Xenopus tropicalis: one gene and its partner. The protein of the gene in region 1 interacts with the protein of each later gene in a biochemical or structural test. Links are inferred from orthologs where the notes say so. Each region holds a gene or a part of one and is shown in the gene's direction. Other genes may lie near its edges.

Region 1 (3,500 bases):
GGTGAAAACCCACTTGTAAATCTCGAGATTATCTAGAAGTAGGAAAAAAAATCCGACTTTATCTCCTAATTGCTTAGTATGCCCCTATATGTCTATAAAGATTCTCATTCATGCAGGTCATGATATACAGTATCTATGAGAGAGCGTTACAGGAGAGTGTTGTAACCTTCCGAGATACTTATCAAATACGTTTCAGAACTAGATAGAACATGCGATATAGGGTGCAGTTCTCTAACAGAAACCCCCTGCTTTCCTCACTTCCTGCTATAACAGAGTTTCTAGACAGGAGGTAAGAAATTTATTTCCAAAACCCAAATTTCCAAACAAAATATTCAGTAGATTTAAGCTGGCCTTGGTGGGGTGCCATTCCCACTGATGAGTTGGTCTAGGGATCAGGCCTGTTCGAACAATGTATCTGCAGCTTCTCTTTATTTTAAAATAGCCCAGTAGAAAGGCAGTCATACCTATCTATCCAATAGGGATACCACCTGGCTGTTAAAACACCTGCCAAAGCCGGGGCCGGTATTACATATTTACCGGCTATATAGTTGCTGGTAAAATTTTAATATCACTAAATTTAGCTCTTGGCCCGCCCACCTAAGACCTTGACCCAACTCAATCTTAACTTTTTCCTTCCCCAATCTATCCTCCATCAATTCTCTATCTGCCTGATGCACTGTAGCACCACCCCTTTCTGGCCACACCCCCATTTATGTAATACCCCACCCCCTTTTGTCACTGCCCCCAGTCAGCTGATAAAACTAATCCCTACTATCCATTCAACCTGAGGGTGCATTGATTGGACAGAGTACCTTGTTGGGTCATTTATGGCCACCCTAAAGGTTAAGGCTAACAGATAAAAGATGCCAACTCCCCCCTCCAGGCAAGATATCAATTGAGCATACTGTAAGCCCACAATATAATCTGATCATTTGGTCAAGGCCCAATTTGGCCCTAAAGGTCCCCATACACGGGCCGATTCTAGCTACTGATATTGGTCCCTTAGACTGATTCGGCAGCTAATAGGCCCATGTATGGGCACTACCGACGGGGCTGCCTGACCGATATCTGGCCTGAAATCAGCCAGATCTCGATTGGGCAGGTTAAAAAATCTAGTCGGATCGGGGACCGCAACGGCTCGTTGATGCGGTCCCTGGACCAACTTTTCCTATACCCGTGTGTGTAGCCACTCATTTTTATCAAACTTGCCAAACAAGTGGATCTCAAAGTGCATAGCCAGCTCCCGTAATTATGCCAGCTCCCTTGGTATTCATAATGGTGAGAACTCATGACTGGAACCAGATTTACAATAAACAGTGCCACTATTCCAGGCAGTTCTAGAGCACTCAAGTTCTACTTCAGCACACAGCCCCATCCCTACTACCTCTTTGTATGCGCACTCCATTAACTTGAGTTCCTAGGGTTATTCCTTGCATTTGATGGGCATATACGCACATTGCCAATCTGTGAAATTCTTGGGATCCCCTACCCTTCGTAAAACAAGGGAGCCATTATTAATTAATGGGCACACAGGGGCGCACATTGCCCCACTATGGTGAATGAGCACTCTGGTTCATCAGTTCTGCAGACCCTATGAGATCAGTTCCTGCAACCTTGTTGGTCTTCTTCATACCCTGATGTGCACATACTATGCAAACATAGAGGAATTTGGTCTAGCCTGCCAAATGGGTGTTAGTATTTATTTCAAGTGTTTGCCATGCTGAAAGTGTTACCATCAGTGATTCCAAGTAACAACATGTAAAAACCAACACTAGAGGAGTTGTTAAGAAATGTGGCCGATCCCCTGCACGACAGTTTCACACCCCTCAGTACCAAGTACTTGCCTTTATTTCCAGTTACTGGGACTTGAAGAACGGACACACAAATAGATTTTTTTTCAGAATGTTGGGTTTCCTTTGTTTCCATTTTTATAAGGTTTTGCCGTTACTTTTTTGTGTTAATAAACATCTTGACAAAGAACTTTAGATCTTCCAGCCCAGTGTTTGGTGGAGACGGCAGCCAGTCCCCAGACACAAGTGGTTTTTAAAGGAACATTAAAGAGTGGGAGTTTGTGACCATTGCATTTGCACCCTGGGTCACAGTGAATCACTTTCTGACCAATGAAATAAGCTATTTGTAACATAATATCACACTTTATACTATTCGCACCACTGGAGTCTTGGTTCAATGCCAACAAAAATGGTTCTTTTATCTTTTGTTTCTGTTTATTCCCTCCTACAGCCAAAAATATACGAGTAGCTTAACTGGGTTCTGGCCAGAGGCCATAAGCATCTTGTATAATGGCCACCAAAATAATCATTTTATTGATGACTGCCCTATGCTGAAGGATCTACACGCTACGGCAGGGGCCCCCAACCATAAAAGTCCATGGAGGTGCCAAATAAGGGCTGTGATTGGCTATTAGGCAGCCTCTATGCACACTATCAGCTTACAGGGGTTTATTTGGTAGGAAATCTTGTTTTTATTCAACCAAAACTTGCCCCCAAGTCAGGAATTCAAAAATAACTCCCTGGTTTGGGGGCACTGAGAGCAACATCCAAGGGGTTGGGGAGCAACATGTTGCCCCTGAGCCACTGGTTGGGGATCACTGTGCAACAGTATCGCGCCTTTGCTTGTTTGGTGCTATGAGGGTTCTGTTTAACAAATGACTAGCGATGATCATGGAATCCATTAGGCTGGTTTTGTATGAATGATTCTGTAGCTACTGGTTAGGTTTCTGTCAGTGACTGGTCTATCTCCTTTCTCAGGCACATCCGGAGGAGCTGATCGCTTATGATGCCGAGCTTTACCGCCAACATCATGAATACTACCCGTACCTCAGTGACAGTGAGAGCCATGGTAAGCAAAAGGGACACTTGCACAAACTGTATTTCGCAGCAATTACCATTGTAGCAACCATGGCAAAGACCACACAAAAAAAATGGAGGGTCAAACTCTGGGCCTATTAGTGTTACAGCAAAGAACAGCAGAAAAGAGAACAGTTAGAGAATTCATTAGAGTATATTGAATTAGTTGCAAGGTGAATTGGTTTGCAGGAGTAATAAAATGGGTGGGCTGGATATTGAAAGCAGAACAAGGGATAGACTGCACCTAATGATACCAACTCTGTATCAGCTTCTCTCTTAGAACATTACTGGGAGTATCCCACCCCTCATCTACATGGAGAACTGGAAGGATTCCCTGATTCCCAGCTGACGGAACTGCAGAGTGTTCAACCTCCCCAGCTGCAGCAACTCTACAGACATATGGAGGAGCAGATGCATGTTCTGGAACCTGGGTTGCCCACGCCACACCCACACCTCAGCATAGGCCATCAGGTACCTCCTACCTCAGACACTGGCATGGTTCCTCTAATGAACACATCTTCCTGAGTCACTGACCGTCTGCATAAAATACATTTCTTATTCATATCAAGTAGAAACACTCCACAAATAGTACAGCCTAAGCCCCCACCCTCGTGTATTTATCTCCCACTGTCC
Region 2 (4,205 bases), about 49 Mb from region 1:
GCCCTGGCCAGTATAGCATTGGGGGGCACTGTCTTTGGGGAGCACTGTGTATGGGGGGCCCTGGCCAGCATAGCGTTAGGGGGGAACTGTCTTTGGGGACACTGTGTATGGGCAATTGGGGGCACTGTCTTCGGGGGGCCAATTGGGGGCTATGTGTATGGGGGGCTGGGGCCAGGATAGGATTAGGGGGGCCCTAGTCAGCATAGCATTATGAGGGCACTGTGTATGGGGGGCCCTGATATATTTTTGTCTGTGTGTCCTTTGGACCGATGGGAGGGGCCATGTGGGAGGGGAGCCCAGAAAATTTTGTTGTGAGGGGTCCTGTGATTTCTGATGGCGGCCCTGACCCACTGCATATAATGTGCTGGTTTTGTAAATACAGACTGTATATAATGTGCCTGGGATGTCAGAACCCACTGCCTTTCTCTCAATAAAACTAAAACACATTTAAGCTAACTGATCACAAAAACAAATGCTTGGAGATCCCCTCACAGAAGTGCATGTATGAATACCTTTACATCCTAAGCATTTTAGGGTGAAAAGAGCACTTCCATCCGCACTTTTTCACAGTATCCCTGGGAGTTAGTGGGAACCGCAAGAGATATTTTGTACAGCAGCAGCGAATCCACTAAGTCTCACTTTAGCTTTAGGTCAGTCTATGTATGGCCCATCTCTAGCCTCCCCAAACAAAAAAGTCACCCTCCACCCAGGGTCGGACTGGGGGGTGAAGGGCTCACCGGGGCTCCCGCCGCTGCTTGGCGCATTAGGGGGAAGAGCGGGGTGGCTGGCTGGGTTGTCTAAGGGGCCCAGCCTGCTTGGGCTGCCTCTGATAAACATTAAATGCTTTTTGTTGTTTCTTGAAGCTGCTCCATGTTTGGCCCTTGTGAGGTATATAATGTAAGTCTGGCAAACTCCCCTTATGGCACCCTGTGTAACCACATAGGTTGAAAAATTATTCTCCACACCTCCAGACTTTGTATATAATATAAAATAAACAATTGCTTATTAGTTTATTATTAAGCCTTTTTACTGTACCTATTTTGTCACTTATTCGCACAATTCTGTTACATATATCTCTGTTATACCACGTGTATTGTCTATTTTCTAGAATACTTGGTTTTCAAATTTCCTTCGAACCACGTGTAAGAGGAGACCACCTGAGCCTTCCTGTAGAAGTGCAGGGTTTCGGGTAATTAGGGTCGGTTTCCTCACAGTGCCCGTGGGAGGCATGTAATATAGTCAGTCGGGTCAAATGGACTGCAGTTTCTCGGAAAAGACCGCAGTTAAAAGAAGGAGCCTGGTTTCGATACTTACTGCCTATTGGACGGCTGTCATGCCCTTCTCCCCTCTCTATTGGACGTGCGTTGTGTCTATCGGCCAGGGGGTGGGCTCATTCGTCTCTTAGTCAAAATGCTGTGAGTTGCTGCGTAACCAGGGCCACTGACGAAGTAGCAGTGAAGGAGTTTGGCACTCTGAACAAGGAACTAAGAGGCACTAACGCTATTAAAAAGGTACCGGTCTCATTCTCATTGTACCCACTAGTTGCGTGACTAGAGCAGGTAGAGCTGTGCTCTCAGCAGAACCTTGTGCTTCCTGCGAGCAAGGATTGCTCTCACTGAGCAGTCGGTCACGTAGAGCTGTGGCACAGGTGCCCATTGCTGTACCCGGACATGCAGCTGCAATTTCGGCTTCAACAGCTTTCAGGATTCATTTAGAGCTTTAGCTGCTCTGTGACAGCTGAGAAGTGACAGCTTGCGGGTCTCAGGGTAAAGGCTGTGGCATGCCATGCTGGGGGTAAACAGGAGAGGATACTTGTCCAGTCAGATATATAAAGACTAATATAGGGGGCGGGTTATTCTGTGTATTTGAGGATACTAAAGTTTATAGAATATTGGGAGATCATATGCTGCTTCTTGGTTCAGGATTTAATCAGAATTTATGAATTTGCCTGTGGTGGCAGCATTATAAAATACTTGTCCAATGAAAATCAATGAAACATGCCACCTGCCAGATAGAGGTGTCAGTGGCTCCTAATGAAATTAGCCTGATAATGGACTACATTGGAAGCCATACAGGTAGATATGTAGTTGCTACTTGTAGCTGGCCAGAAATTAGTTTATTGCTTTTATTTAGGGACTTGACAACATCATGGTCATATAGAAAACTGTACACAAATGTAACCTGCTTTAAGTGTAGGCATTTACTAAACTCTCCCAATCCTATAATATTCTTAGCTGATAAGAAATACAGATAGTAGGCATAGTGGAGTGCCAGGAGTTATCTCTATCCATCCCTCTCCAAACCAGTAATATAAATTAGCTGTTAAATATAATGATATTGCATGAACATATTTAGCATTCCTTTTTCAGTTTCACTAGCTCCTCTTCACAGGTAAGAAATCTTCTCTGTAAGGAAGGTGCACAGCAGCTTACAGAACTGTGTTGTCATATACAGTGACATATAAAATAGATGAAAGTCAAACATTTTAGAGCATTTCTTTTTTATGTCACTGTCCGTTGGGCTGGATTAGCTGGTGTAAGTGCCTGTGCTAGCTCACTAATCACAATAGATCAGTTCTGGGTTGTATAGAAAGTGGAACAAGGAAGGGTGTCTGGCAGCCTTTGAACTAGCTAAGAATAAAAACCTAAACATTGCTTCAGCACATTGCCAAATACCATTCATGTACTTGTAATGCTGTTTCTTCTAAGAGTGTAATCATTATTTTATTGTCAAATATTCAAATATGGTAAGAAGATGTTATTTTCTAGCTCATATGCTGCACACTGTACCACTGTGTAATTTAACTTGCAAATAAATGTGCATTGTGTACACACAGACTGGCATGCTTTCAAAGGGATGGTAAAAGTTTTAAAAGGGAACTTGTTAGATTGTGACACCTCACAGTCCTGATGGATTGGAGGTATGTCACTCTGTTAGCATATTTGTTGGGAGGTTGAATCACTGTAAGACTGATACTTTTGTTCTGTGATGTGTAATGTGTGTTATAGCCTCATGGTGTTTATGTGCTGCATGATGAGCAAGTTAATATTCAGTGGTGTAGTTTTGTAATGAAAATTAACAGTAGTTGGTCCAGCAAGAGCAATATTGCAGCATACAGTGAGTGTGATATCTAGCGTACCTTGGGCTGTCGGCTGAGTTTACTGTGGTACAAGATCTGTTGACTTTAACTCCCACATACCCACTTATGTCTGTATGCTACGTGAGTATTAAACAAGATTCAGGTTCTTTACATCTTTTTTTAGCTTCCCAAAGCCCTTAAGAATATGGCATGGAAATCAAGTCATTAATATGACTTTTGGGGGAAAAAGCTATGAGCTGAGGATTCTAGGTACAGTCTTATTTCAAAACACAGAATTTAGCAGTGCTCTAAGTGTTATATAGTGGTTTGTACTGTTGTAAAATGTTCACAATTCACAGTTTGACACAGACCTGCAGAACCACACACACAAATATCTTAACATTACCTTTTAACAGGTAACCTCCAACTGAGCTGAAGGGAAACATTCCTGATGTTTCTCCACCTAGTCTTGCAGAAAACTACTAGCATAATATAAATACAGAACCTTGAATGCAAACCCCTATGGATATTTAAATATGTATGCTGCCTTTCATATTTAAAAAATCTAAGCCATCAAGCTCAGAATTTTAGAAAAGAGTTGCAGCCTGGATTTCTGCGCATGGGAAAACCTACTCCTGGTATCTGAATTACCCCTAGTGTTCTCTCTTTCATCTGTAATTTATACGCTTAGATTATTTTAGATATTGATGTTTCTTATGCTGATAGCATTATAATATGCATTTGTGATGCACCAAATCCATAATACCAATATCTCAGAAAACATTTGACTGAATACCAATCTGAATCCAAAACAGATTCATCGAAAGATCTGTCTGAGACTTAAACCTGCAAAAATGCTGAGATTTGGTAGCATTCTGATCTGAATCCTGGCACATTCCTCAAATGCTGAAATATGGCTTTGTTGTAACACCTTGCCACTTACAAATAGTTAAAGGGGTTGTTCATGAACTTTTAGTATGATGTAGAGAGTGCTATTCTAAGACTGTTTGCAATTGGTCTTCATTTTTTCTTATTAGCAGTTTTCTTATTTGTCCAGTTTGGTATTTTAGATGGTATGTGGTTGCTAGGGTCCAGTTTAACCTAGCAACCAGGCAGTAGTTTGAAA

The links.
Region 2: the proteins of spi1 (region 1) and irf8 form a complex in vitro, tested with the Homo sapiens proteins (3 studies listed by BioGRID). The link is inferred for Xenopus tropicalis from reciprocal best matches to the Homo sapiens genes SPI1 and IRF8.

Annotation. Positions count from the first base shown.
Region 1 is NC_030680.2:15,874,808-15,878,307, reverse strand, and holds part of spi1 (transcription factor PU.1), read left to right. Parts: intron 1-2,768; coding exon 2,769-2,859; intron 2,860-3,135; coding exon 3,136-3,338; intron 3,339-3,500. UniProt on the Homo sapiens protein: Pioneer transcription factor, which controls hematopoietic cell fate by decompacting stem cell heterochromatin and allowing other transcription factors to enter otherwise inaccessible genomic sites.
Region 2 is NC_030680.2:64,720,716-64,724,920, reverse strand, and holds the start of irf8 (interferon regulatory factor 8), read left to right. Parts: upstream 1-1,405; 5' UTR 1,406-1,511; intron 1,512-4,205. UniProt on the Homo sapiens protein: Transcription factor that specifically binds to the upstream regulatory region of type I interferon (IFN) and IFN-inducible MHC class I genes (the interferon consensus sequence (ICS)). Can both act as a transcriptional activator or repressor.